Callithrix jacchus: one gene and its partners. The protein of the gene in region 1 interacts with the protein of each later gene in a biochemical or structural test. Links are inferred from orthologs where the notes say so. Each region holds a gene or a part of one and is shown on either strand. Other genes may lie near its edges. The genes, in order: LRRK2, GAK, MAP2K6, EIF4EBP1, MBP, RAB5B and RAB8A.

What was found.
Region 2: the proteins of LRRK2 (region 1) and GAK interact on a protein array, tested with the Homo sapiens proteins (3 studies listed by BioGRID and IntAct, with this or other methods). The link is inferred for Callithrix jacchus from reciprocal best matches to the Homo sapiens genes LRRK2 and GAK.
Region 3: of the proteins of LRRK2 (region 1) and MAP2K6, one has a biochemical effect on the other in vitro, tested with the Homo sapiens proteins (2 studies listed by BioGRID). The link is inferred for Callithrix jacchus from reciprocal best matches to the Homo sapiens genes LRRK2 and MAP2K6.
Region 4: of the proteins of LRRK2 (region 1) and EIF4EBP1, one has a biochemical effect on the other in vitro, tested with the Homo sapiens proteins (3 studies listed by BioGRID). The link is inferred for Callithrix jacchus from reciprocal best matches to the Homo sapiens genes LRRK2 and EIF4EBP1.
Region 5: of the proteins of LRRK2 (region 1) and MBP, one has a biochemical effect on the other in vitro, tested with the Homo sapiens proteins (6 studies listed by BioGRID). The link is inferred for Callithrix jacchus from reciprocal best matches to the Homo sapiens genes LRRK2 and MBP.
Region 6: of the proteins of LRRK2 (region 1) and RAB5B, one has a biochemical effect on the other in vitro, tested with the Homo sapiens proteins (2 studies listed by IntAct). The link is inferred for Callithrix jacchus from reciprocal best matches to the Homo sapiens genes LRRK2 and RAB5B.
Region 7: of the proteins of LRRK2 (region 1) and RAB8A, one has a biochemical effect on the other in vitro, tested with the Homo sapiens proteins (2 studies listed by IntAct). The link is inferred for Callithrix jacchus from reciprocal best matches to the Homo sapiens genes LRRK2 and RAB8A.

What each region holds. Positions count from the first base shown.
Region 1 is NC_133510.1:35,484,433-35,488,138, forward strand, and holds part of LRRK2 (leucine-rich repeat serine/threonine-protein kinase 2), read right to left. Parts: intron 2,721-3,706; coding exon 2,611-2,720; intron 1-2,610. UniProt on the Homo sapiens protein: Serine/threonine-protein kinase which phosphorylates a broad range of proteins involved in multiple processes such as neuronal plasticity, innate immunity, autophagy, and vesicle trafficking.
Region 2 is NC_133504.1:192,270,865-192,275,260, reverse strand, and holds the start of GAK (cyclin-G-associated kinase), read right to left. Parts: upstream 2,914-4,396; 5' UTR 2,797-2,913; coding exon 2,652-2,796; intron 1,961-2,651; exon of another isoform or gene 1,701-1,960; intron 1-1,700. UniProt on the Homo sapiens protein: Associates with cyclin G and CDK5. Seems to act as an auxilin homolog that is involved in the uncoating of clathrin-coated vesicles by Hsc70 in non-neuronal cells. Expression oscillates slightly during the cell cycle, peaking at G1.
Region 3 is NC_133506.1:125,528,527-125,532,232, reverse strand, and holds part of MAP2K6 (dual specificity mitogen-activated protein kinase kinase 6), read right to left. Parts: intron 2,459-3,706; coding exon 2,339-2,458; intron 1,198-2,338; coding exon 1,081-1,197; intron 419-1,080; coding exon 367-418; intron 1-366. UniProt on the Homo sapiens protein: Dual specificity protein kinase which acts as an essential component of the MAP kinase signal transduction pathway.
Region 4 is NC_133514.1:38,881,664-38,885,801, forward strand, and holds the start of EIF4EBP1 (eukaryotic translation initiation factor 4E-binding protein 1), read left to right. Parts: upstream 1-1,309; 5' UTR 1,310-1,371; coding exon 1,372-1,516; intron 1,517-4,138. UniProt on the Homo sapiens protein: Repressor of translation initiation that regulates EIF4E activity by preventing its assembly into the eIF4F complex: hypophosphorylated form competes with EIF4G1/EIF4G3 and strongly binds to EIF4E, leading to repress translation.
Region 5 is NC_133514.1:119,560,734-119,565,025, forward strand, and holds the start of MBP (myelin basic protein), read right to left. Parts: upstream 2,935-4,292; 5' UTR 2,751-2,934; intron 1-2,750. UniProt on the Homo sapiens protein: The classic group of MBP isoforms (isoform 4-isoform 14) are with PLP the most abundant protein components of the myelin membrane in the CNS. They have a role in both its formation and stabilization.
Region 6 is NC_133510.1:63,686,533-63,690,238, forward strand, and holds part of RAB5B (ras-related protein Rab-5B), read right to left. Parts: coding exon 3,651-3,706; intron 543-3,650; coding exon 391-542; intron 119-390; coding exon 1-118. UniProt on the Homo sapiens protein: The small GTPases Rab are key regulators of intracellular membrane trafficking, from the formation of transport vesicles to their fusion with membranes.
Region 7 is NC_133523.1:14,726,526-14,730,712, reverse strand, and holds the start of RAB8A (ras-related protein Rab-8A), read right to left. Parts: upstream 2,822-4,187; 5' UTR 2,808-2,821; coding exon 2,684-2,807; intron 1-2,683. UniProt on the Homo sapiens protein: The small GTPases Rab are key regulators of intracellular membrane trafficking, from the formation of transport vesicles to their fusion with membranes.

The DNA of each region.
Region 1 (3,706 bases):
TTGCATACCTTAAACAATTTTTAATTGTCAACTATACTTCAATAAAGTTAAAAAATCAACAGGGAACTATTACGTGTCTCATTTCAAAGGTTAGAAGCACTACTTATTTTCCAATAAATATTCAAATTCAAATATTAAGATTCACTATTTTCATCCAACTCCATATTCAAGAGATTATGAAGCCTTATATTCATCAAGAGAGCAAGGCCATTGTTATATGTGGTGTAAATTTATAAATTATCTTAGACATGTTGATATAGTAAAATATAGAGAGATATAATTAAGAGGTTAGTTTGTGTGTACAAATTAAGAATTCATTTGAACATTTAAATTATTTATTGCTACTATTTTTTAAAAGAGAAATTAAGACTATATTATATCAGAACGTGAACTCAGCATATCAATAATGTTTAGTTAGTTCCAATTCATGAAATTTTAATCCCTAAGTTATAAATTCCAAAAGATAATCTCTAGTCTATTCCTGCACAGCATTGTTTGGCTTTACATCGTTGGGAGAACACTGAACTGGCCACATCTAGAACTTTGTATGTATTCAAGAAAAGCTGAATAATCTTCATTTGGCAATTGCAGGAACTAAATGAAGTTGGTCTTCAATTCTCTGCCAGCCTTCCTCCTACTCACCCTGCCGTTACCTCTCCCTATACCATTCCCACTATTTCTGACTTTGTAACCACAGAAGAAATTTGTCTTCAGTACTGGGAAGTCTTTGGATGGAAAAAGACTTTGCAAAAAGAGAAATATGTTTTACAATCAATTTTTGCTGGGAGTGCTCTAATACACTCCACTGGAGAGAGCAGTGTGTCTATCTTCTTCTCAACTGCATTGTTTCTGCCCTAGAGGAGGGCTTAAAAAACATTCAATTAATAGAAGATGAATGACTGAATGAACAAAGTGAGTGAATGAAATCTCCTACATAAACATTTATGTAATTTAATTTGAACAGTTGGTTTGTACAGGAATATGACTAGATGAGTTTTCCAAACACTCCCTGGGGCTATAGGTTGGCTCATTTTGACATCTTGGAAATTCTCAGCCAAATCAAGGGACACTTAAAGTTACAATTCCTAAATACTGGTATATTTTGAGTAATTCCTCATCAAATGCTGTACACTTTAGAACTGACACATAGAATTACAGACGTTAGATCAGAGAGGAGAACTCCAATTAATTGTAAATATGCTCTTTCCAAAACACATCCTTTATGTGCTAAAAACAAGAAGAGTAACACATTTATCAAATAAGGGAAAATACATAGGCACAGATATGTTCACTTATGGACAAATGCACAGCTCTAATTCATCTAAATTTACAGCACCACTTGATACTGATTAGCAATACAAACATGTAAAAGGTTTACATAAATTAAATTTTCATAAACCATATACCACTGGAAGCCAGAAATATTCACAATTTCCTTTACTGTGGTAAAGAAAAGTCACATTCAGTATAAAAAAGATTTAAAGTTAATAACAGAAGGTTTTTTGTTTGTTTGTTTTTGAGAGTCTCACTCTGTCACCCACGCTGGAGTGCAGTGGTGTAATCTCAGCTCACTGCATCCTCCGCCTCCCAGGTTCAAGTGATTCTCCTGCCTCAGCCTTCTGAGTAGCTGAGAAGATATTTTAACTGTCAAGAAACAAAGCTATCCAAAATGTATTTTCCTGGAAACATATTCTCCAGAAAACATTTTCTTAATTAATTATGGCTAAGGCAGTAATCTCATCTAAGAAGACATTATGCTGCAAACTGCAAAAACATAGCTGGTAAAATTGCCATCAAGATTTGGCTGCAGATGTGCTGAAAGGTAATTTCCTCTTTTTGAAACCCATAGTTTAAACTCAATGTATATATATGAACATATAAATGTACTATTTAAAGATGGTAGAACATCAACTTTCAAATTACTGCTTACAGAACTAACTTTTCTCAGTTCCCATTTTTTTTAAGAACTAGTGGTTTGTATCAGTTCTATTATTAAAAAGCAAACTGTCTTCATGGTTTGAATTCAAAAGTACTCATCAAAACTCTACAACTTGGCCCAGCACAGTGGCTCACACCTGTAATCCCAGCACTTTGGGAGGCCGAGGGGGGCAGATCACGAGGTCAGGAGACCAAGACCATCCTGGCCAACATGGTGAAACACTGTCTCTACTAAAATACAAAAAAATTAGCTGGGCGTGGTAGCCCACGCCTGTAGTCCCAGCTACTTGGGAGACTGAGGCAAGGGTATACCTTGAACCTGGGAGGCAGAGGTTGCAGTGAGCTAAGATCATGCCACTGCACTGGCCTGGTGACAGACCGAGACTCTGTCTCAAAAAACAAGAAAAAATCTACGTATAAATCATACAGTATAATTAACTGTATGATTATATTAATAAAATAATAACTCCTGACATGTTACCTTTCTAAATCAAACTTCCGAGTTTAAAGCTCTCTATAAATGCAAGTCATTGACTCAAGGAAAAATATCTGTATTTTAAAGAATTTAACAAGAGTAGCCTTGAATTGCAAATACAATGTATCAAGGGAAGGTTGCTGTGAGTATAGATAAATATTCAAGGCAGTTTGTTTTTACATATCTATCATACTTACTGGTGAACACCAAGGAATTCCCAATCATTTCCAACATCCTGGGGTCCCATTAAGCTTTGCATTGTACCTGGACAGATTTCTATTAATTTGCATAAAAGTGACCAACCCACCTGAAAACAAGAAAGACATATATTCACTTTTTAAAGAATGTTCATAGAACATACCCAGTCAATTGTGAATCTCTTCATTCTTAGTGAAATAGATGCTTATCTCACTTGTAAATAATAGATGCTTATCTCACTTGTAAATAATTGTCATAAAACGAAATGATATCCTAAAATGCTTACCAAGAAACAAAAGCAAGCCATATCCTTAGGATACACCTTTCTCCAAAAATCATACCAGAAGGGCATACAAAATACATAACGTTTCTAAATTAAGAAGGACATAGACATGCCTACTGTCTAAATAAGGCAAAATAAAATAAAGTATAAAAAAAAAGTTTTAGAGATTGTGCCAAGTTTATTAAGTGCAAGAATGGCTATAGAATCCTTAGTACTTTTTTTTCTTGGTTTTTTGTTTTCAGTTTTGGTTTTGGTTTTGAGATAGAGTCTCACTCTGTCACCCAGAGTGTATTGCAATGGCACAATCATAGATCACTGCAGCCTAGAACTCCTGGCCTCGAGTGATCCTCCTACCTCAGCCTCCCAAGTAGCTGGGACTGCAGGTATGTGCCACCACACCCAGCTAATTGTTTTTATTTTTTGTGAAGACAGGGGTATTCCTATGTTGCCCAGGCTGGTCTTAAACTCCTGTGCTCAAGCAGTCCTCCTGATTTGGCCTCTCAAAGTGCTGGAATTAGAGGCATGAGCCTCCACACCCGGCCCTTAATAAGTTTTAAGTCATATCCACCTGACAGAATTTCCTCCACATATTTAAATTTTAGTTATATAAAAAAATGAAGTGGCTTAGAATGAAGGATTAGGGGATGTTGGAGATTTTAATAGCAATTTTAAATGGCTGCTCCCCAAGTAATGAAGCTGGACTAATAGAGGCAATAAATATGGCACTTTAAGCAATTGAAACTACATCTGGTAGGAGAAAAAGATAAAGGCTGTATAATGTAGACAGGAGGTAGAACTCCTCAATGGCTCCC
Region 2 (4,396 bases), on another chromosome or scaffold:
TTGGGAGGTCAAGGCAGGTAGATCACCTGAGGTCAGGAGTTCAAGACCAGCCTGGCCAACATGGTGAAACCTCGTCTCTACTAAAAATACAAAAACTTAGCCCAGTGGTGGTGGCACGTGCCTGTAATCCCAGCTACTCAGGAGGCTGAGGCCGGAGAATCGCTTGAACCCGGGAGGTGGAGGCTGTGAGCCAAGATCTCGCCATTGCACTCCAGCCTGGGCAACAAGAGTGAAACTCCAACTCAAAAAAAAAAAAAAAAAAAAAAAACAACTAGCCAGGTGCAGTGGCACATGCCTGTTACCCCAGCTACTCAGGAGGCTGAGGTAGGAAGATCTAGAACACAGTTCAAATACATCCTGAGTAAGATCTCATCTCTTAAAAAAAAAAAAAAAAAAGAGGATGACAGAACAAATCTGAAGAAGTTAGAAAGGTATCTGGTTCCACAGTTCTGCCTAAAAACCCATTCACACCACAAGTCCAAATTCCTAAAAGATATGCAAACCATTTTTTCTTAAACTCATCTGACAGCAAATCTATCATAACCTCATTTGGGATAAAACCTGACATGAACTGATACAGGGCTAATTACAGACTTTAATTATCCCACAGTGAGAATATTTATTCATTTAATTACAGAAGTACTAATGTCTTCAATTACAGAATACTTTCCCAGCGCCTCTGGGAGTATCCCATGATATACAGGGTTATATGCTGCAATGATCACTCTGAAACCTGAAAAATTCTGACATTGCAAACATCTGTACTCAAGCGTTCGATCAGGGGCCATGGCCATGTTTACATAAGACAGCCTAATTCCCACAGCGTATGTTCTGAGGTTGCTGTCCAGACAAAACTTATTTAAATATGTTTATGTAAATTAAAATCATTCCATTTTCACACCCTGTTTCAGTTCAAAGAGCCTTCAAAGTACTCAGGAGGTTGCAAGCCACCTGTTAAGTTTACAAGGAGGAAATCTACAGCTCCGAATGGCATTGGTTATTTTTATCTCCTGACTCGCCTAGATAGCAAAGGGAAACAAGTTCTTTTGCACAACCTCAGCGGCCGCCCACATTTCCTTGTTCTTCTTCCTGGGCGCTAAATGACCCACAAGCTTCTTTCTTTACATGAATCTTCTCCAGGCCCCAGTGAGGGTGCATTCTCCACCCTCCCTCCCCATCCATGCCATCATCTGCTTGGCCCCTTCCCGGAGGTCACCCTGTCTGTACAACCTCCAAGGATCTGTCCCCATGCTGCCTCGTCTCTCCACCCCAGAGCACAAGTCTGAAGTTCCAGAAACCAAGTCCTGTCCATTACGGATTTCTTAAAGAATGAAGATGACTACCTAGTATTTCCAAAATAAATGAGTTGATCTGGGGGAAATCTGCCTTCTAACAGATGTGAAAGAATATCACACTTCGGCCCGCACCTCTGAAAGAAGAGCTTAGAGCTTTCTTACCAAAACGTACCCGAAATCTGTTTGGTCCTGACCACAATGGAGACAAAGTGTGTGATAATACTACAGTCAAAATGTCTCTGCAAGCCTGTGATGATCAGAATTTTGGGACAGTCTCCTCTCTGGTCACAGGGCGGCCACCTGGACAGGCTCACCCTCCAGCCCTGAGAGGTACCACGGATCGGGTGAGGGCTAACGCGCCGCTTCGCTCCCTCTCCCTGTGCCAACACAGCAGAATAGACTTACGTTTCAGCACCGAAGTCAACTGTGTTCAGCCAGTGAAACGCGACACACTCCCAGGCACCACTGGACAAAAAAGCAAGGAAGATCCACAAGAGAGAACGGGACCGACTGACGCTGGTGATGGATTCCGTGTGACAGACGGAGAGAACATTCAGGAAGCTAGAAATGGCGTGCAGAAACGAAACTGACTGGAGACTGGCTCAAGAGTACTTAAGCTGAGCGACCTGGTCACAACTACTAGCTCTGCTTCCCGTGCTACACATGTAATCACACGGGGAAGAGAAACACTGAGGTGCTCAGAAGGGATCACGGGATCACGACATCACGACATCACGAGACACAGCCCTGTCTACCCTCAGCAACCCAACCCCAGGCTACGACCGCAACTACCTGCCACGCTTCTGCAACCACCAACTCTGAAGCTCCCTGGACTCTAGAAGAACCAGCCCGGACCTCCAAAGTCCAGCCCTGTCCCTGCCTGCCCAATAACCCTAGATGTCAGGCAACAGGCCAAGGCTTAAACCCCCCTCCGGCTCGCTCACCTCCTGACTCCAGCTGTTGGCCTTCTAGGCACCCTCCCTCAGCCTCCGCTAAGGCCCCCACCCAAGCTCCCTGCCTGCCACCATCCTCACTGTAACATCTTCCCCCACCCACCCTGAGGGGGGTCCCCGAGCCCCAGGCCTTGCTCCAACTTGACCCTACTCCTAGGACAAGAAGTACCCGACCCGAACCCAGCCTCGCCCTCCGCAATCACCACCAGCAGGCACGGACCCACGCCCCACTGTGACCCTCGCCCCCGGCAGAGACCCTCCCCTGGCCGACCCTGACCCACGACCCCCGCTGGGACCCTCCCCAGCCCCGACCCACGCCCTTCCACTCCGGGCTGACGCTGCCCGCAGCGTTCGGGAGACGACACTCCGCGCCAGCACCCGCGCTGCCGACCCGGGGCCTCACCTTCGGCCAGAACCCGCCGCACCCGCAGCCGCAGCTCGCCCAGTTCCACCGTCTGCCCCACGAAGTCACTGTGGTCGCGGCCGGAAGCGCCGCCCAGGGAGCCTGGGCCCGCCAAGAAGTCGAGCGCCGACTGCAGCAGCGACATGGCGGTGGCAGCGCCGCACCCCGCGGTACCCGGAGTGATCGGGCTCCGGCTCCAGCTGCCTCGCTCTCCGGGTCCGCTCAGCAACCGCCGGCCCCGAGCGGCACCATCTTCCGCCCCGACGCCGTGACGTAGGCGCGCGTGAGGGCGCGTCGCGACAGGAGGCGTCGCGGCCCAGCCCCATCCCCTCCGCTGCGGCCTCACTTCCTGGCTGCGCGCGCAGACGCAGAGAGCTGATGCAGACAGAGCGTGCGCGGCGTCGCCGGCCTCGTGACGAACTTCCTGCCGTCAAGCGCCCGGCTGGCCTGACTCAAGCGGAGGTGCGCGGAGCAGTTGCCGGGGCGATTCCCGCCCAGGTAGTTCGGCGCCGCATCCCAGCTCCTGGTACCGTTCCCCACATGGTCTGTTTTGCGGGAGGCTCCTCTCGGCCGTGTCCGGTTTAAGCGCCTCACAAGCGGGTGGAGTCCGCTTCCCTCTTGCTGTTAGCAATGGGAGAAAAATGGGTTCGCGCGTTCTTCTCTCAGCTGGCTGAGGAGCACGGAGTTAGCGTCCGTTCAGCCTTCAGTAAATACTTGGTTCTTGTCTTCTGGAGGTCGGCGTTTCCTGTGACGCTTAGCGAGTAAGGTTGGCGGCCCCCTCCCGGCAGCCGGGCGGCAGTTTGCAGGTGAAAGGCTGCTGCGCTCCCCCGTCTTCCGAGCAGAGGGCCCGAGCCTGGGCTGGGGCAGCGTCCAGTCATGGGAGCCGGGGGCCAGAAAACCTTGGTTCTGGGCAACCGCACCCTGCAGAGGCTGCCCTGTCACCCTCAGGGTTCGTTCGCACCCTCACCTTTTCCAAGACAAAAAGCGGGTCCTCTTGAACCACTCGGAAGGGTTCGTAGCGCCCAACATGAAAAGGTGGCTTTCCTTATAGGGTAATAAGGGAATGGCTCACGGAAAATGCATTTTTAGTTTTTGCCCCAAGCAGTGTTTGAGGGTTGGGGGTGGATAGCGGGACGTGAATTCGTTGCTATCATTTAAAGACCGGGCGCGGTGGCTCACGCCTGTAATCTCAGCTATTCGGAGGCTGAGGCAGGAGAATCGCTTGAACCCGGGAGGTGGAGGTTGCAGTCATTGAGCCAAGATTGAGATCACACCACTGCACTCCAGCCTGGGCAGCAGAGTGAGACTCCGCCTCAAAAAAAACCAACAAAAAAACCTGAAAGGCCTAAACGTTAAAAATCTGGTTTTTCAGCTTCTGTAGAAAAATCAAACCTATCAATATTGGACCCCAAATCACGTGTGTTACCAGTTACCCAGAGCGGTCCCTTCAGGTAAGACGCAGTCATTTGCCTGGCTGGCTTGGCTCGTGTATGTCACCTGCCTGGTCCCTATAGTCATTTGAGGTTGCAGACCTTTGCGTAGAGTCTTTGTTCTCAAACTCAAAAATGGATTATAAAGCTCAAATCAGCATCTTACCTGTCCCAGAAGCTGACATCTGTTATCTTTATCATTAAAAGACAATAGGCTCAGCTCATTGGAACACTTAACCTGTTTTATGGAATGAAGTGTTGCATGAAGCCAAATGAGATCTTTGAAAAATAAAAATGACAGTAGCAGTAGCTTAG
Region 3 (3,706 bases), on another chromosome or scaffold:
TTTGGTCTTGAGACCCATGCTTCTTTTCCGACGAGCTATCATGCAATGGCCAATACAAGATCAATTTTTATCATGTTCTCTAAAATTTCCAAAGATGTACTCCCACAGCTCTGCTTGCTAACAAGGGTTTATAGTCAATTTTGGTGTAATATGAAGATCATGTCTTCTTCTTATGTCCTCAGCCACAATAAGGGATACTACTTACATTGTTTGCTATCCAATCATAAGGGAAAGCCCTGTATTTCTCTTGCCTTAGTTGGAAGTCAATTCTACTTCCATCCATGGGGGGTTGGGGTAGGGAGGGACTCCAGGTGGAAGAAATGAACTTTATCAAAGGAACAGCCAAGGCAGCTCATGGATGCTTACCTCTATGAATGACAGACAGCTTACTGTGTAAATGTTCTAATGCTTTTACAATCTGCAAGAGAAATACAAGATAGATTCATTTATCACATCCCTGGAAAGAAATTGAAAGTTAAGTATATCAAGGTTTATTTTCCTTGGCTTTAGGTTACCATTGAGATATTTTCTTAAATAGTGGTGGTCCTATCTAGGAAAATACACAGGAAGTTACACAAATTGGACTCCATCCACCAGAGAGGACTATATCTTATATCAGAGAGGATGTCTCCCTCATCTGTCTTGTTCACTTGCCCTCATTCTTTTTCTTTACACCCTCCTGAGCCTGAAGAGCCATAAAAGTATCAGATCTTCTTTCTATTTATTTTCCTCTGCTTCCTTCGATGCCTACTAGTCTTAAGAGAACACTTTAAAAATCCATAAATGAAAATCAAAATAAACTAATGTCAGAATATAGACACCAGGAATGTGGTCCTAGCTGATGAATGCACCACTTAGAGTTATTTAACTTAAGAGTCTGCCAAACCAAAGCAGTGCTAGAATCTTCTACACAGTGCTCAGAAAGGAAAGCATGTATTTATCCATCCACCAATGAACTTCAACAAACATGTACAAATAGTAGCTGTGGTCCAGGTAGTATTTCTTTATACTGAGGTATAAAGACACATAGGAACTTTATTTCCCACATTATCTATGCAGTAAGGCTCATAATGTACTCACAGAAACTGCTATTTTCCCTAAGATGTCCTCTGGAATTGTCTGGCCTTTATCAATAACTTGTTTGTAGAACTTATCTAGTGATGTATCCATGAGCTCCATGCAGATCCACACATCACCCTGGAGACCAATTGGTCCAGGAATTGTTTAAAAAGATGAAAAAGGGAGAAAGGAGAAAAAAAAAAACAACAGTAAACACCTGTCCTGAAAAATTAACTATTTCGTTTTTGAATTTTGCAGGGAAATAGATTGTTTTCTGTCAAGATCATAAAGGAATTTACAAATAAACAAGGTTATCTCCAAAGAGAAAACCAGTAGGTAGCCGAGCAGAACCTGCATGTGATCTCCTACCCCTCAACGGAAAATTGAACCTAATTACTAACAAATATAAGCAATACAACCCCAGAAATCCAAGCCTTTACTGATACCACTCTCTAGGAGTTAGCTCTAGATGCCTACTCCATGTAGGATTTCCCACAGTAAGCACCAGCAATAGTCAGTCAAAAACCTGGTTTTAATGAGGCAAAGCCTCATAATCCATATAATGATAAAGTGAAAAACAGAGGTAGAGAAAAGAGATCAAAGTAAGTCTATATAGTACACAAGCAGGTTAGGTGAAGCTCATAAAGCATTCAAAAGAACAGAATATTTCAAATTATAAGGGATCTTTGCAAATCAGTCTATAGGCAATATAGAAAGTTCTGCCAAGATAAACAAAACAAGAAAGAAAGGAGAAGAGAATCTCAGCTTCTTAAAAAGGCTAATCACATTTGAAAATACCATAATGTAGGCTGGGTATGGTGGCTCACACCTGTAATCCTAGCACTTTGGGAGGTCGAGAAGGGTGGATCACCTGAGGTCAGGAGTTCGAGACCAGCCTGGCCAACATAGCAAAACCCCATCTCTACTAAAAATACAAAAATTAGCCATGTGTGGTGGCATACGCCTGTAATCCCAGCTTCCCAGGAGGCCAAGGTAGGAGAATTACTGGAACCCAGGAGACAAAGGCTGTAGTGAGCTGAGATTGCGCCACTGTACTCCAGCCTGGGTGACAGAACAAGACTGTTTCAAAAAAAAAAAAGCCATAATTTCAATCCAACCGCGCCCCAGAGCATGTCATCATTGCACACATGTAAACACCGCTATACAAGATGTGTCAAACAAGAAAGAGCTCCATGATTGTGCATGGCATGTACATGATCAAAGGAACTTCTTTTTCATTTACTGCTCTTCTTGAACTTCGAATTGAAGGGTCACCTACCTCCCGAAAGAGTGCGCCATAAAAGGTGACAGTGAATGGACAGTCCACTGTCCTCATGGAAATATCCAAATCCATCAGTAGCCTTTTCTGTTCCTGGCTATTTACTGTGGCTCGGATCCGCTGAATGGAAATGCATGGAAAATTTATGGTTACTACTCTGATGATGAGGCAGGCAGGGACCTGAAGGAGTTCCATCAAAATAATACGGTTCATAACACTACTTCTAGCAACAACATTGTGAATATCCACCCTAAGCAATTAGCTATTTGAAAATAAGAAAGAATGTTACTCATTTGATTTCCTGAATAGTACTGGTAAGAAACAAATTGATACTGTTTTAGAGGGTGATAAAATGTTTTGGAAAGTATTTCCAAGTTACAGAAACAATCTAGTTTACTCTCATGTCTGTTCAGTGCAAAGAGGTCATAGTATTAATTACTTTGCTGTTTATCTGGGATCCTAAGAAAATAAAAAGCCAAAAGCTCTTCTTTGGGAACATGTAAGAGTATTTGGAGCAAACAGCAACTGCAAGAGAATTGGTACAGCTATAGGAAATAGAAGGAATTCAACAGAAATGAAGAAACCATTCATTCCTATCCCAGTGCTTCTGAGAGAAATCTGTCACACTAGCAAATGTAGACTTACAGAAACATGATTATGTCACTAAATGATAGGAGACATACAATAACACTAGGCCTTCAAACTTTTTGCCTACAGCAAAAAGTCAGCAGAAGAACAGACTGGAAAATCTAAAAGATAAAAGTATTTCCATTCTTCAAAAGCAAAGGTATCCAAGTCACCTGATCATTCCTAACAATGGCCCAAATCTATTAATTCAACTAGAGATGTTAATTCTTTACAATCCTCCCAGCATCTACTCAATAATATGAAATGATTTTAAACTTCATTTAATAGCTCAAAAACTATGCAAATTTACTCTAGATATATTTTACCCTCCTTTTTTCACAAATGGAGACAATTTTCTCTCTCAATTCTGGGTCCTTGATTTTCAGGGACAATTCTTTAAAAGCAACAAAATATAGAATAAAAGAGATTTATTAGTCATAACAGCCAAATGCAATACGTAAACTTTCATTGGGATGCTGATTTGAAAATCCAACAAGATAAAGCACACATACACACTTTGAGATGATCAAGGAAATTTTCATTTGGACTGCAGATTAGTATCATTAATTAATTTTGTGTGATGTTGAAGAAAGTACATTTGGACTGCAGATTAGTATTATTAATTAATTTTAAGTGTGATGTTGACATGGTAGTTTTGTAAAAATTAAAAATGGTGGAAGAATGGGTGGAGGGAGACTTAAGGGTTAAAAAAAAAGTAGATACAACTCATACCAAAAAAAA
Region 4 (4,138 bases), on another chromosome or scaffold:
CAGAGCAAGGCTCCGTCTAAAAAAAAAAAAAAAAAAAAGTGAGACCAAACTCAACAGCTCTCCCCATCTCGGACCTTGCCCTCCTTGGCCCATCCCAAAACTCCAATGGCCACTAGTTATCGTTCCAAAAAAACAACTCTAATCATGTCATTCCCCCGCTTAAAAGAGTTCTGATGTCTCCTGCCTCTCTAAGACAACGTCCAAGCACTTTGACATGATTTGAAAAACTCAACGACCTGACCCCAATTTCCTTTTTGAAAAATTATTACGTATTTTTTAGAGATAAGGTCTCTGTCCAAGGAGGAGTGTAGTGGTGTGATCACAGCTCACGGGAGCCTCCAACTTCTGGGCTCAAGCAATCCTCCAGCCTCAGCTTCCTAAGCAGCTGGGATTACAGGTGCATCACCCAATTTCCCTTTCGAACCGTCCTCTCTTCTTCACCCTCTTCCCCACAACATGTGCACACAATGATAGGAACTTCTCAAACCCAACAAGTTTTTCCATCCTCGGTCCTTCTTGCATTTTTCTCTCTCCCCTTGAACATCATCCATGCATGCATCCATTCATCCAGCAAAGAGTACCTACTAAACATCCGTCAATTCAACCAAGAAGTACCTACTAAACCTCAGGCAGTGGCGTGGGTATTGGACCCAATTCAGGGGCTATCGGGAAACCTTTTGGACAAACTATTACTCCTCCCCTACGCGTCCCCCCTCCCGGCCGCCCCCAACTCTAAATTTAGCTCCCAGGACGCTGCTGGTTGGTTCACTCCTCCCACCCCTTCTCTTCCTCTCTAAAGGCCAGGAGCGGAATTGTTAGTCCCTCCACACCCATCCCCATCAAGGTCAAGAAATTGAGGTGGGGTGAGCATGACCAGTCAATCCCACTTTCTCATCTGAGGAACTGAGGCAACGAACAGGGAGTGCCAAAGGGTACACCCGGCCTGAAGTCTTAATGCAGAAACCGGGCCTTCCTGCAGTGGGCCGGGTCAGCTCGGATCTCCGCGCGGTCCTGAGTCACCGCCCCCAACCCAGACAAGGATTAACATAGGCGAGCTATTCCGCCCGCCACCCAACCCGGGTCCCTGCCAGAGTGGCGCCGAGGGACCCGAGAGCGGAGGAGCAGTCGCTGGGGGGCGGTATGGAGGAGCCCGTGAGCAGGCGGGCGTGGATCGGGGGGCGGCAGGAGAATCCACGTGCAAGCAGCGGCCTGGAGCTGGGTGGGGCTGCGGCGCGGACTACAAATCCCAGGGGCGTGGGCCTGGAGAGGCGGAAGGGGCGTCCTGGGGCGGGGCGGGCCGGGGCGAGGCGGAGCGAGGCTGCAGGCGCGGGAGGGCAGGGAGAGGTTCGCGGTTGCAGCGCACAGGAGACCATGTCCGGGGGCAGCAGCTGCAGCCAGACCCCAAGCCGAGCCATCCCCGCCACTCGCCGGGTGGTGCTCGGCGACGGCGTGCAGCTCCCGCCCGGGGACTACAGTACGACCCCCGGAGGCACGCTCTTCAGCACCACCCCGGGAGGTAGGCGCTGGCTCGGGGACGCCGCGTGCCGGCTCCCGGGAGGGCGGGAGGATTGGGAATCGCGGATCGGACCGGGCGTCCAGGCTAAAGGGTGCTGTGGCTGGGAAGAACGGAGAAGGGGCGTCGGGGAGACAGCGAGGGTCATGGAAGTGACCGCCCGGCTGTCCTCCGAGTGCGTCGTCCAGACCGGAGCTGCAAACTGCCCCGTTCGTTTCCTCTTTCTGTTAGGTGTCAGACAGCTGACACCTAACTAACAAGCACGCCTCCAGGACTGCCACGTGCCGAGCTGTGCTGCCCCTTGTGGATGTTGGGGGCGCTCCCCAGGCGGGATAGGGCGGGGTCAGTGTGGCCCACGATCCAAGAAAGGCTCGGCCTGGTGTTTTTATGGGATGAGTTGGGATAAATTTATTATTTATCTGTTGGGATAAATGATTTCTACAGGGCCCTGATTTTTTCCCGAGGCACCCCTAGTTTTGCGTTGGACACTCGCGCTCTGACGGAGGTTTGGGTCTGCGGGTGCTCCCCTGCTCCAGCAGCACCTCCCGGGCACCTGTGGCACGTTCCCCATTTATGCAAGTGAGATCTCCGCGGAGGGGCCTGTCGCCACGGGCCGGGCTGTGCAGAAAAGCACGTTCTTCTGTCCGGGGGGAGGAGGAGGCACCGTGTGACCTCCCTGGGAGAGGATGAGGAAGAGGAAGCTGAGCTGGCACGGGTGGGGTGGACAGCCTCGGGCTGCCCTCAGGAACCTGGCATTCCCTCCCAGCCCCGGAGCCGCAGCGCACAGGCGCTGATGAAACCTACGCTCCTGTTTGCATGATGAAATAAATCCTCGTGGCTCACCACTTCGGTCCCATCCTTGCACTGCCCCCACTCCTTTTGCTCCTCTGCCTCCATCCTCCTCCACGCTGCTTTCCAAACTACTGGAAAACGCGACAGATCCCGGCGCTTGGCTCGGTGGCGGTGGGGGCCAAATGCTTATTTTCTCAGGCAGATTCTGCCCCACCGGCAGCAAGCACAGCCGGATCCGAGGTCCTCTGCCGTTCGATCCAAAACATACACTGTTAGAACGGTTAGGGATCTTGTCCAACTCTGCCGCCTGTTCTACAGAGCCAGGCACTGAGGCCTCAGAGCTGGAACACGTGTCCATTGTCACACCGTTTTCCCAGATTGGGCAAGAAATAGCAACCAGGCAGAGAAAGGAGGAATGCTTCCTCTTCTGTTAGAAATGATCCGAGGAGAAGCTTGCAGGCGCTCTTGTTGCCACTCCCGACTCATCCTCTTTCACTTGTAGTCCATGCTGTTCTCCTTTGTCTCTGTCACAATGGTCTACCAGGCCAATTCCTGACACTTTTGGAGTTCTTTCAACTGAGGGGGTAAGTGTCTGCTGGATTCGTTCAGGGTGGGCCCTGAGGCTGGCCTGAAGGAACAGGGAGCCTCTTTTTGCACCCTTTGTTGCTGGATTGTTGGGTCAAATTAGAAGCCAGGGATACTGTTTATAGGCACTTCTGGCCGAGGTACCAAGATTCATGCCTGTAATCCCAGCATTTTGGGGAGGAGCCAAGGCAGGAGAATTGCTTTAGGCCAGGAGTTCAAGACCAGCCTGGGCAACATAGTGAGATGCCATCTCTACAAAAAAAAAACAAACAACAACAAAAAGAATGTTGTCCTAGCTACTCCAGAGGCTGAGGCCAGAGGATCGCTTGAGGCCAGGAATTGGAGGCTGTGGTGAGCTATGATTGACCACTGCAGACCTTATCTCTAAAATAAATAATAAATGTAAAATATAGGAACTTTGAATCCACTTTTCACTTTGGATTGGGAAGTGGAGAGTAGTCAGGGGGCTGACAGCAAATCCCACTCACTTTGAAGGTCTTTAGCAGTAGCAGGAAGGGAGAAGGGGCTTCTGCATTGGGACATGGCATATGTTTCTGAGATTACTGGAAGAAGCTAGCAGTGCCAGGAACCTAAAGCCAGCTCACTCTTTGGGGCGGCCTGTGGAGCAGGTACAGCTCCCAGTCCCTAAGCCAGGGAAATCCGGCTTACTTCTACTAAAGTCAAGCAAGCCTGGTCAGCCTCGATTAGCCAAGGTGTGGACTCTTCCTCCAAAGCCCACCTTAGCCCACTTCTGCCAGGGCAGAGAAGCTGAAATGGTCACATCCTGGGACCCTTTGGCTCCAGACCAGAATACTGCCTCTCACTCTTCCAGGTGCATAAGGATAACTGGGGTCTTCATTTAAGGTATATTCTGATTCTGTAGGTGGGGGTGGGGACTAGATTCAGCATTTCTTTTCTTTCTTTCTTTCTTTTCTTTCTTCCTTCCTTCCTTTCTTTTTTTTTTTTTTTTTTGAGACAGGGTCTCCTCTGTCGCCCAGGCTGGAATGCTGTGGTGCGATCTTGGCTCACAGCAACCTCCACCTCCTGGGTTTAAGCGATCCTCCCACCTCACCTCCCTGATACCTGGGACAACAGGCACATGCCACCCATGCTGGCTAATTTTTGTATTTTTTGGTAGAGACGGATGTTACACCATGTTGGGCAGGCTGGTCTTCAACTTCTGACCTCAAGTGATCTGCCCGCCTCTGCCTCCCAAAGTGCTGGGATTACAGGCGTGAGTCACCATGC
Region 5 (4,292 bases), on another chromosome or scaffold:
CCTGTAGTCCTAGCTCCTCAGGAAGCGGAGGCAGGAAAGTCACCTGGGCCTGGGAGGTGGAGGTTGCAGTGAGCTGAGACTACACTACCGCACTCCAGCCTAGGCAACAGAGCAAGACACCGTCCAAAAAAAAAAAAAAGAGTAATTAGTAATTAGAATACTTTCTTTTTCATTGGCAACTAAGAAAGCTAAGGAGAGGATCATGAACAAAGTTGGATGACAGGAACCTTTTGGTCAAATGATTCTTGAAAGGAAACATCCCTGGGTGCACGCCACTCATCATTAGGGGTGGAAGTTTAAAAGGAGGAATGATAAGCACCTTTGCAAGGCATTCTGTTCACCACAGCGGGGCAGAGCAGCAGTGAGGCGCTGGTGCAGACTCCCTGGGCAGAATCCTGCCTCTTCCTGGGTGCCCTTAGACTAACTTAACCTCTCTGGGCCTTGCTTCCTCATCAGTCAAAATGAAGATATGAAAAGCACGGTGACCTCCAATGAGGGTATCTAGGGCCATCACAACTGTTAACTGAGGTGACAAACAGCTCTCAGAAGAGAGCCTGGCAATGTGCAAGTGCTCGATAAACACTCCCTGGGGTCAGAAAAGGCACAGAGGCAGCTGCTAATCTTAAGCATGTCTTTTTTTTATTTTTTATTTTGAGACAGAATTTTGCTCTTGTTGTACAGGCTGGAGTGTAATGGCATGGTCTCAGCTCACTATAACCTCCACCTCCCAAGTTCGAGAGATCTCAGCCTCCCAAGTAGCTGGGATTAAGGCACCTGCCACCACGCCCAGATAATTTCTGTATTTTTAAAGAACTTGGGGATAAAAGTCAAACAAAATAACTTACAATTAACATTTACAAATTCAGGCAGAAATAGAAACGTCAGGAGAAAGGCTGGTCTCTTTTCCCCCCAGCGTTCGGTGGCCACCTTTCATCAGTGCCCACAGCCGGGACCCACCACACTCAAAGCGGACGTTTCAAATCAAGCTGGAGCCACGAGCTGCCAGATCTATATCAAGTGACGCATGTTTCACTTCCTTATCGCTGGGCAGAATTGCGATACTTCTGGAGAGTTTTCAAAGAAGATGACAACAGAATAGCTTTGTTTAACCCGGAGTTAACAGAGGTGGTTGTTCGAGAACAGTTAACTCCCTGAGAGTTATTCCAGCATTTACAACCATTTTTAACTGGATTCTTTTCACTCAGGTTTCTGTTTAACCCACTTGATAAAAAAAAAAAAAAAAAAAAAAAAGCCTCTGGCGTGGTGCCTTATCCCTTGGCTCGTGGGAGCATCCCCTCCCTGGCTGCCGGCCTGGTTTCAGATCATGGCCTTCCCTCCTCTACTGAAGGGCTGCTGGGTTCCAGGCTCTGAGCCGTATCCATAGCCCGGGGTCCCAACCGCTAAGGAGGCTAAGGAGGCACCCATCGCTGGAGGTGGCCGCCAGGGAGCTCAGTTCAGGACCCTACTCCATCCATGTGGTCCCTAACATGAGCGTGACCCTCCTTAACCCATCCCCCGGAGCTTCACCAAATAAAATGTCCAAAACACACACTGGCTGTTCCCTGACCTTTCCTTCCTCTGAAAAGCTCTCTCTCCAGGCGGGGCGTTCTGCGGTCAAGATGAGGCAGAGACCTCCCAGGAACGAAGTCCACGCCCTCCCAAAGCCGGGCGAGCCACGCGCCCCTCACCCACCCGCAGAGAAGCCGAGCACTTGTTGATTCTCACGTTGTTGCAATCGGAAAACGGAACAAGGAACCAGAACGCGCCTGTTTCCAGGCAGAGTCGCACAGGGATCCCTAAAGACACTTGAACCCCTTCCCGAGCCCCACTCCACCTCCCGAAACAGGGGGTTCAGGTGGACGCGAAAGGGCACAGGCGCTGCCCCCGGCGCCCGGGAAGACCTAGGGTGGCGGCAAATGACTGCGCGGTCACATACGCCGGCCTCGGGGGCACCCCGCACCCCACGCCCCCGGCCCAGGACAGGCCGTCGGGCCCGGGAGGGGCAGCCGGGGAGACCCCGGCCCCGCGAGCCCAGCGCTCAGCACCGCGAGGGAGGACCGGCAGCTGCGGGCGCGCACGTGGGTCCAGGTGGGCGCAGCGACTGGCCAGCCGAGGAGCCCGAGACAGGCCGCGAGAAGGCGGAAGCCCAAACCCAGGCTCTCGCCGCCGCTCTCGGAGTTCGGAGGGAAACTGCGCTTCACCTCGGGGGGGAGCAGCCGGGACGTGATTGGCAGGCGCCCGGAGGACCCCCCAGCGCGCCCTCGCCGCCCGCACCCTCTCCGCACCTGAGTGGCCGCTTCTGACCGCCGTCCCTCCCACCCGAGACTCCTCCCCTCAGCCCCGGGGCCCGAGGCCCAGCGGTTTCTACGACCCCGGGACGCCGGGCCTGGCTGAAGACCACCCTGGACACCTGTCAGGATCCCACCCCGGCGCAGTAAACCCGAGTCTACACCCGCGCCCGCCCCCTCGCAGTAGAGATCGGGGACAGGGCCGTGGGTTCGGGTCAGGGGCCCCCGGCTGCCACCTGCCCGGTCACCTGCGCTACTGCCCAGGTTCCCCCTGCGCGTTCTCGGCCGAGAAAGGGACTCGGAGTCCGGGCGCCGGGACAGCTCCTGTTCCCAACTCTCAGTCCACGGCTCCCGCGGGGATCGGCCCCGGGTACCCGCCCAGGTCTCCGCGGTCCCCGCTCGGAGGGGCGCGGAGACAAAGGCGCCAGAGCCGCCCCCCACCCGCCCCCGAGGGTCACTCACCGGCGCTGCGCTCGCTGCTCAGAGGCCGAGGGGTGCCGCGGGGTCCCAGGCCCGGGCGCGCAGGTCCCGGCTTCAAGCGCCGGCTCGCGGGGTCCCCAGACAGCCTGCACCGCCTTCCGGGGTCGGGAGCCCTAGGCCGCCGGGGCGGGAGGCGGCTTCTCGCGGGTGCGCGGCGGCGGAGACTGAAGGCGGCTCCGAGGGACGGGCGCGCACTCCGCTCCCGGCCCCGCCTCCCCGGGCTTCCTGCGCGCCAGGTAAACACAGGCCCAGCCCGCCGGGCCCGTCCCCCCACCCCCGACGCGGCCTCCCGGGAAGCTCCGAGGCCCCCGGGCCCGCTTTGCCCACGCGGAGTTCGGAGCCGGGGGGGGGGGTCGCACGGGATTCACGCTCAGGGTCGGGCCTCGGAGAAGGGGCGGCCTGGAGCCTCGCCCGAGACCCTTCCCCCGTGGCTCGGCCTCCGAACTCACCCGGACCCCGACCTTGCCGGAGGGGAGCGAGGCCGCATCTCCCCTTGTCCTCAGGGGCTGGAAACCCCAGAAACTGCTGAAGGACTTGGCGCGGCCCCGACCCTGCAGGAGGAGGGTCAGCCCGCCCTGGAGGCGGGAGGAGCGGGCAGGTCCTCCCAGGCGCGCCCTCCCTCCCCTGCAGCCCCGCCCAGGCCCACCTGCGGCCGGCAGGTGCTCCGCTGGGCGCCGGGAGCGCACCTTCGCCTGCAGGAGGGGCGCAGGAAGTCCGCGCGGACAAGACAGCCAAACGCGCCAGGTGCGGGGAAGCCGCCTGGTCCCGCGGCACGGAGGCGTCGTGGTCTTCGTCACTCTACTGTTAAACAGAAAAACTGACCTGCACACACAGTTGGTGGTCAGGGAGATCTTTCCCTGGATTCTCGGTCACCTGATGGAGGAGGAGGAGGAGGTGGGGAGTCCCCGAATGAGCCCCCGCATTCCTCCTGACCTGCACCCCCACTCAGGGATCTGGACCCGGGGCTTCCGGAGGCAGCCTGGGACCCACAGTTCGTCAGGAGGTGAGGGAGAGGACTGAGCGCTGTCCGGGCCGCGCTGCGAGGCGGCTCCAGCGGGGGTCGGGGTTGCGGCCTAAAACCAGCCTCCCCGGAAGACCCGGAAGATTTAGCAACTGTGTTCAAATGCTGCTTAACTGAAGAGAAATATTTAGACGATGGTACAAAGCATTTAGTCTGGGCCTTTCCTCAGGAGAGATTTTCAAGTGGAGAGGGCAGGAGGGTTCTAGGAATTTGAGGCTGAAGGTGAGAAGGGGCAGGGAAAAGGGTGTCAGAGGTAAAGTGTGCTTCTCGGATTTTTCCGTCCCCACAACCTCACTTTAAGTCAAGGATGAGCGAGTGGGTGTGGGAGGCTGGACAGCTGCCCTAGGAGCACGGGTGGTGACAGTGAATGCAGGTGCACCCGGGTCCCAGCTCAAGTCACTCAAGCCCAGGCCGGGAAGCTGGAACACTGGGTCCTATTTTGGATACCTGCTTTAACATCAGAAACAGCTTTTCTTCTCCAAAATATCTCTTGGCTTTATCTC
Region 6 (3,706 bases), about 28 Mb from region 1:
ACTCCACCATACGCTTGTTGGCCAGGTCAGCTTTGTTCCCTGCTAGAGCAATAACGATGCTAGGACTGGCCTGTCGCTGTAGTTCCTTCACCCATGTCTTCGCTCGGGCAAAGGTTTCCTAGGAAAACATTTAGAGAATGAGTAGACTGAAATAACTGCCAACCCATATCTATCACCTTTTAAAATGAGTCTCAAAATTCACCTCTTTCAGGTGGCCTTCCCTTACTGAAACCACTGGTCTCTGATAATTCATTTTCTCTGTCTTCTTAGCACTTGGAAGCATAATTTGTACTCTTATTTGCTATTTCAAGAACATGTTTTCTGCCCACCCACTCCATCTAATTTAATTCCTCTAAATATAAGCAAGGACAGTCCTCTTAACTCACTTACCTGATTAGTAATGTCATAAACCACGATTGCAGCTTGGGCACCCCTGTAGTACATGGGGGCTAAGCTGTGGTATCGCTCCTGCCCAGCTGTGTCCCAGATCTCAAACTTGACTGTTGTGTCATCTAAACAAACGGACTGGGTGAGGAAGGCCGCTATGGATAAGAGAAAGGAGGGGAAGATGCTGTAAGTGAGAGGATGAATGGGAACATACCCCACTTCAAAATATAACTACCCTCACTCTAAGACCAGTCACCCCCGCAGGATACTCAGCTATAGGAAAAGGTTTTGAGTTCTCCTTACATGTAAGTCTTGGAACCACGATTAAGACTGCCCTTGGCTAAGTCCATCCTGCCAGAAATGTCTCTGGCTAAGGAATGGGGGTACATCATAAACTAAGAGGGATAGAAGAACTCGCACTTATATGAGTCATCCTTCTAACCAAAATAGGAGCATAACAAATGACAAAGACAATAGCTTCAGACAAAAGTCACATCAAGAATTAATTAGAAGATTGGCTGGGTGCGGTGGCTCATGCCTGTAATCCCGGCACTTTGGGAGGCCAAGGTGGGCAGATGACCTTGAGATCAGGAGTTTAAGACCAGCCTGGCCAACATGGTGAAACCCTATCTCTACTAAAAACACAAAAGTTAACCAGACGTGGTGGTGGACAACTGTAATCCAAGCTACTAGGGAGGCTGAGGCAGGAGTATTGCTTGAACTAGGGAAGCAGAAGTTGCAGTTAGTAGAGATCATACCACTGCACTCCAGTCTGGGTGACAAAGTGAGACACAGTGTCAAAAAAAAAAAAAAAAAAAGAATAAGAATATTTTAAAGCTTGATGGCAAGTACCATCATTAATATTATTTGGCTGTTACTTTTTCATATAATCTGCTGCAGGTCCAGGAATACATTTCTAAGATGACTAATAAAAAGGGGAAAGAGGCTGGGCATGATGGCTCACATTTGTAATCCTAGCACTTTGGGAGGCCAATGTGGGTGGATCACCTGGATCACCTGTGATCAGTAGTTTGAAACCAGCCTGGCCAACACAGCAAAACCCTGTCTCTATTAAAAATACAAAAATTAGCCAGGGGTGGTGGCACATGCCTATAATCCCAGGTGCTCAGTAGGCTGAGGCACGAGAATCACTTGAACCTGAAAAGCAGAGGTTGCAATGAGCCAAGGTCATGCCATTGCATTCTAGCCTGGGCAAGAGTAAGACTCCATCTCAAAATAAATAAATAAAAGTAAAAAGGGAAGGAATAATATAGAAGTTCCCATAAAAGATGCTTTATTGAATTAGCACCCTATTTTGGGGTAGTAGCTGGGAAAAGGTAGCAAAGATGGGAAAGACAGATACCCTTTATAGTTTGCATTAGTTCCAGCTCCTATTTTATCAGATTTTTTTTTCACCTCATTTTTGTTTTCTTTCATCTATGTTGGAGTGCAGTGGTGTGATTCTGGCTCACTGCAATCTCTGCCTCACGGGTTCAAGCAAGTCTCCTGCCTCAGCCTCCCAAGTAGCTGGGATTACAGGTGTGTGCCACCATGCCCAGCTAATTTTTTTTTCTTTTGAGATGGAGTTTCACTCTAGCCACCCAGGCTGGAGTACAATGGCACAATCTTGGCTCACTGCAACCTCCACCTCCTGGGTTCAAGCAATTCTCCTGCCTCAGCCTCCCGAGTAGCTGGAATTATAGGCATATGCCACCACATCCAGCTAATTTTTGTATTTTTTAGTAGAGATGGGGTTTCACCATGTTAACTAGGCTGGTCTTGAACTCTTGGCTTCAAGCGATCGGCCTGCCTTGGCCTCCCAAAAAGCTGGGATTACAGGTGTGAGCCACCATGCCCGGCCTATTTTACCAGATACTTTGATGAGAATCACCTAAGGAGCTTTTCCGAAAACATGCATGTGCTGTCACTACCAACCTCAACCTACCTCTAATACTAATTAGTAGGTCTAGGGTCTAGCCCCAGCAAGAATAGGTTGAAAATGCTCCCCCAAATAATTCTGATACATTCTTGATTACGAATCACTGCTCCAAACCAAATTTTTTTTTTTTGAGACAGAGTCTCGCTCTGTCGCCCAGGCTGGAGTGCAATGGCATGCTTCTCAGCTCACCACAACCTCCGCCTCCCAGGTTCAAGTAATTCTCCTGCTTCAGCCTCCCAGGATTACAGGTGGGCACCACCACACCCGGCTAATCTTTGTATTTTTAAGTAGAGACGGGGTTTCACCATTTTGGTCAGGCTGGTCTCGAACCCGACCTCATGATCTGCCCGCCTCAGACTCCCAAAGTGCTGGGATTACAGGCATGAGCCACCGTGCCTGGCTCCAAACCAACTTTTATCTGCTCAAGATGACATTCAACTTCACTGGTATTAAGACAATAAACAGAGTAGGAAGAGGCAGACAGACATAAAAAAAATGGATTTTCTTGGTGTGCAAAAGTCAACCTCTGTTTCTTCTAGGAAGCAAAAGGATGAACATATACCAGCTTTTTGGCATTATGGCAATTATTTTTCTTTGTTTTTATATATTAATTTTTTGAGATAAAGTTTTGCTCTTGATGCCCAAGCTGGAGTACAATGGCTCACTATAACGCCTGCCTCCCAGGTTCAAGCGATTCTCCTGCCTCAGCCTCATGAGTCGCTGGGATTACAGGCACCCGCTGCCACACCCAGCTAATTTTTGTATTTTTAGTAGAGACAGGGTTTCACCACGTTGGCCAGGCTGGTCTTGAACTCCTGACCTCAGGTGGTCTGCCTGCTTTGGCCTCCCAAAGTGCTGGGATTACAGACGTGAGCCACTGGGCCTGGCCTCTGTTTTTATAAAGGGTTTCCATTCCTGGGGAAAAGAATAGGACTAAGAGGGGCAGCTCCATAATGAGGTCCTAGTTCTCTTTTCAAAAGCCTTACTGGTTGGATGCAGTGGTTCACACCTATAATCCCAGCACTTTGGGAGGCCAAGGCAGGCAGATCACCTGAGACCAGCCTGGCCAACATGGTGAATTCCCCTCTCCACTAAAAATATAAAAATTAGCCAGGCGCTGTGGTGGTGTGTACCTATAATCCCAGCTACTCGGGAGGCTGAGGCACAATAATCACTTGAACCAGGGAGATGGAGGTTGCAGTGAGCTGAGATCGCCACTGCACTCCAGCCTGGGAGACAGAGTGAGACTCCATCTCAAAAAAAGAAAAGAAAAAGAAAAAAGCCTTACCAAGCATTGAATATCCTCTTACCCCAAGGCACTCACCTCCAATGGTGCTCTCCTGGTACTCGTGGAACTGCCCTTTGACAAAACGTAATACC
Region 7 (4,187 bases), on another chromosome or scaffold:
AAGGACTGAGTGGCAGAAAATGAACAGCCACTCAATCCTTGGTCTATAAAGAAAACCCAGAGGTGCCCTCAGCCAACACGGAATCGCTTTTTTTTTTTTTTTTTGAGACAGTCTCGCTCTGTTGCCCAGGCTGGAGTGCAGTGGCACAATCTCGGCTCACTGCAACTTCTGCCCCCTGGGTTCAAGCGATTCTCCTGCCTCAGCCTCACGAGTAGCTGGGACTATAGGCAAGTGCCACCACGTCTGGCTAATTTATGGAATTGTCTTTAAGCATTGAGAGATTCTGCTTCAGGATTAGACAGCCCAGTGTGCCTAGGCTTCCTAAAGCATACCCCACCTCCTGCCATGCGTGCACAGGGACACACAAAATCAAGGAGCACTGTTAGGTTGGCTAAGCTCCACAGTAGCGCTCTGCCCTACACTCCTGCTGGGTTTTATTAACACGCCAAATTTAATTAGGAAGTGCAAACTTTATGAGACCTAAGAATTATGAGGCCTGAACTTCAAGGTCACGGTGAATTAGACTTTCCTAGAAGACAGAAGGCTACAAATGGAAGGAGCGGAACGCTGGGGTGGGAGGGAGGGATCTTGGGGTCACCTTGCTAGGTTAACTTTCACCAAGTCATATCCTCATCTGCAAATGGAAGATGGCCTCTTTAAAGCTTTAAAGTAACTCTAAAGAGGGGGTTTGAGGGGAAGGTGCTGAGGCTAGGAAACTGGGAACTGGGTAAATGCAAGCCACAGTCTGCCCACAGTTGTATTCTTTTTTTTTGAGACAGGGTCTCGCTCTGTTGCCCAGGCTGGAGTGCAGTGGCGCCATCAGAGCTCACCGCACCTTGACCTCCTGCGCTCAATCCACCCTCCCACCTAAGCCTCCTAAGTGGCTGGGTCTACATGGGTGAGCCACTATGCCTAGCTAATTTCATTTGATTTTTTGCAGAGATGGGGTTTTGCCCTGTCGTCCAGGCTGAATTAAAGCCACTTTTTGATTGGCTGGGGCACAAGGGTTACCCTAAAGCTTGGCCTTGGAGTGGGGGAGGGGGAAGAATTCAGAAACATCTGTCTTCAGAGGGTGGAAGCTGTCACCACAGGAGCCATTCATTTGTTTTCTCTAGATGGCCTCTGGTTGTGATGACAACCCCTTATTGTCTAATTCTAGTCCTCAACCACCAGGGCACTAGCCCAGGCAGACAGCGTCACTCCTGCTCTGAAGACAGCAGGGGTCAGAGAGGGGTAGTGCACGTTCAAGGGCCAGCAGCAACTAGGAACCAGACATGATGATTTCCAGTTAATTCTCTCTACTTTACATCTGGCATATAACTGTTTCATAAAGTGCAGCTCCTCGAGGGGGGCAAGAATGGAATTGGCACATTATCATGAGATTTAGGGAGATAACACGATTCTGTTGAAGTCACACATAAAGCAAAGGCCATTCTCTATGTTTTCTTGACTTTGAATAAACTCCTTGACTTAGTGACCGTTCCCTCACTATCCCCATCCCTAGCAGGGCTGCAGAGCTCACAGGCCACTCTGATCGGTGTTACTCCCAGGTCTAACCTTTTCATCGTGGGCCAGGACTGCTTCTGTGGCGCTGAGAGAGGTCAACTCTACTTCTGTGGACATCACAACTGAGACATCACAACAAGCCAATTTTGTTCAACCACGATGTGGGCTGGCCCTACGGGAAAAGCTGTTCTAAATTGACAACCGGTGTCCTGGGCCCTTTGATAGGGAAGTCAAGGCTGTCTGTGGCAGTGGCTGATTTAGTTTCTCATTGAGGGTTTTATCTTGCATCTTCTTGGGGATGACAGGTCCCAGGGCAGGCAGCACTGTCACTTGCCATTGCTGTCATCCTGGAGCAGGATAAAAGGCAGGCAGGGAAAAGGTCCTGACTCCTCTTATCATTTCTTCTAGAGGAAAATACACTTATGGGGGAAAACATGGCAAGGAGAGGGACTCAACCTCTGGATGCTCCAGAGAAGAGGAGGAATGGTGTGAGTTAGAGTCCCGGCTCCAAGGTGCATTAACTGAGTTTGTCATCAGCCAGGGGTGTGTGGTGCTAACTCTCTAGAAGAGCTAAGCCTCGAGTTTTGGGGTGAGACACAGCCAGGATTAAATTCCATTAAATCCCATTCTCACCACCTGCAGACTGTGTGGCCTTGGATAAGTCCCACGCCCTCCCTGAGCCTCAAATTACTCATCTGTGAGACGGGCTCATAACAGCACTTAAAACACCGAAACTAGAGTGTGGAAATGCACGTGAAGGACTTGGCACATAGCAATTGCTCATTAAGGCGACATGTCACCGTCTTTTTCCCACAGCCAATTCCTCATGACTCAGTTTCCACCTCTGTAAGACAGGAACCGCAAAAGAACCGCTTCGAGGGCTGCTGCTAGGACAGACCGAAAGGACGGGTGCGAAGACGCCTGCCCAGGACATAACACTCCCTAACGAGCGGGCTGAGGATGGGAGCCTCAGTCACCCCATCTGCAAAATGGGCACCTGGTCTCCCCCGCCACGGCCCATGAACCCCGAAACGGCGGTGCAGGCGGCTGCTCTTCTCCCTTCGACCCTCTCAGAGCCCTCGGCCCGCCCAGCAGGGTAGATTTCTCAGCCCCAGCCCCTCAGGGGCGCGCCCAGCCCGGGCCTCCGGCGCCCCTAGCCACTCCCGGATCCCGCTACCTATGGTGGAGATAAACGTGGAGTTGAAGGCGTCCTCGGAGAAGCGGAACAGGACACAGGTCTTCCCCACCCCCGAGTCCCCGATCAGCAGCAGCTTGAACAGGTAATCGTAGGTCTTCGCCATATTACACTCTCTCCCCGACAGGAAGTGCAGCTAGCGCCTATCCACTGGCCACCAGCCCCGTCCATCAGCGCCGAGCCCGCCCCTTATTGGCTCCAGGCCCGCAGCGTGTCACCGCGGCCGACACTCGCCCCTGAGTCCCGCCCGCCGCGGGGAGACCTGGGGAGGGGGCGAGCGTAGCGCGGAGCCGGAAGCAGCCCGAGCGTACCTCCCATTGGCCAGCACTGATATGAGGACGGGCTCTGATTGACCAGCAGTAAAGAGTCGAGGGGCTTCAAAGGGGGACGAGACGGGGGCGTGGCATTATGTGGCCCCTGCCTCCACCACAGACTCGGCGGCCCGGCCCCGCCCCAAAATGGGAGAGGGAAAGCAGCGAGCAGCGCCAACGGCTCGCGCGCCGACAGTCTGTGGGCGGGGCTTGGGGTGCGTGCGCACGCGCACCCGGAGGTCCGTTAGGCGCCAGCAGAGGGCGCACGCGCATAGTTGGGGAGGGTATCTCTGGGTCTCGCCCTCACAATTCGCGCAGCCTCAGTAGGCGCCGAAGCGAGCGCGGGAAAGGACTGAAGAGCTTTTTTATACGTCTGTGGTCTGCCGGGGCAGCGTGAGCCGAGGGAGGAAGGAGAGAGGAAGCGCTGTATAATCGAAAAGTGACCCCCGAGGCGAGATCCGAGGTCTCGGCTGTGGCTTGGCAACCTGCTTAGAGATACCCAAGCTCTCCGCCACCTGAGCGGCGTCACCGCCACGAGCTGTGCCCCAAGGCGCGCGCCGTCCCCCTCAGGGCCCGCCCTCGGCCGCCTTAGGGGTTGTCCGGGCCAGCCTTGCGGGTTAGGGCAGTGAGGATGCTGGGTCCTATCTAGGGTCGGCGGTTCTGTGTCTGGTGGTCCTCTCAACATTGAAAAAACAGACCGTCGCGGTGGCTTCCGCCTGTGATCATAGCGCTTCTGGAGGCCGAGGCGGAGGATCGCTTGAGGCCAGGAGATTGAGGCTCCACTAGCCTTGATTGCCCCACTGCACTCCAGCCTGGGCGACAGAGCGAGACACTCGAAAAAAGAAAAGGAGGGATACATTAGGAAAATCGGGCTTGCAGCCGGGTCTGGTGGCTCATGCCTGTAATCCCAGCAGTTTGGGAGCTGAGGCAGGCAGATCACTTGAGGTCAGGAGTTCGAGACCACTGCATTCCAGCTTGGGTGACAGAGCGAGACTCTTTCAAAAAAAAAAACAAAACAAAAAAACTTAAAAAAAATTAGCCAGGTGTGGTATTGCATGCTTGTAGTCCCAACTACTCAGGAGGCTAAGGTGGGAGGATCCCTTTAGCCTTGGAGGTCAAGGCTGCAGTGAGCCATGATTGCACCACTGCACTCCAGCCTGGGTGACAGAGCAAAG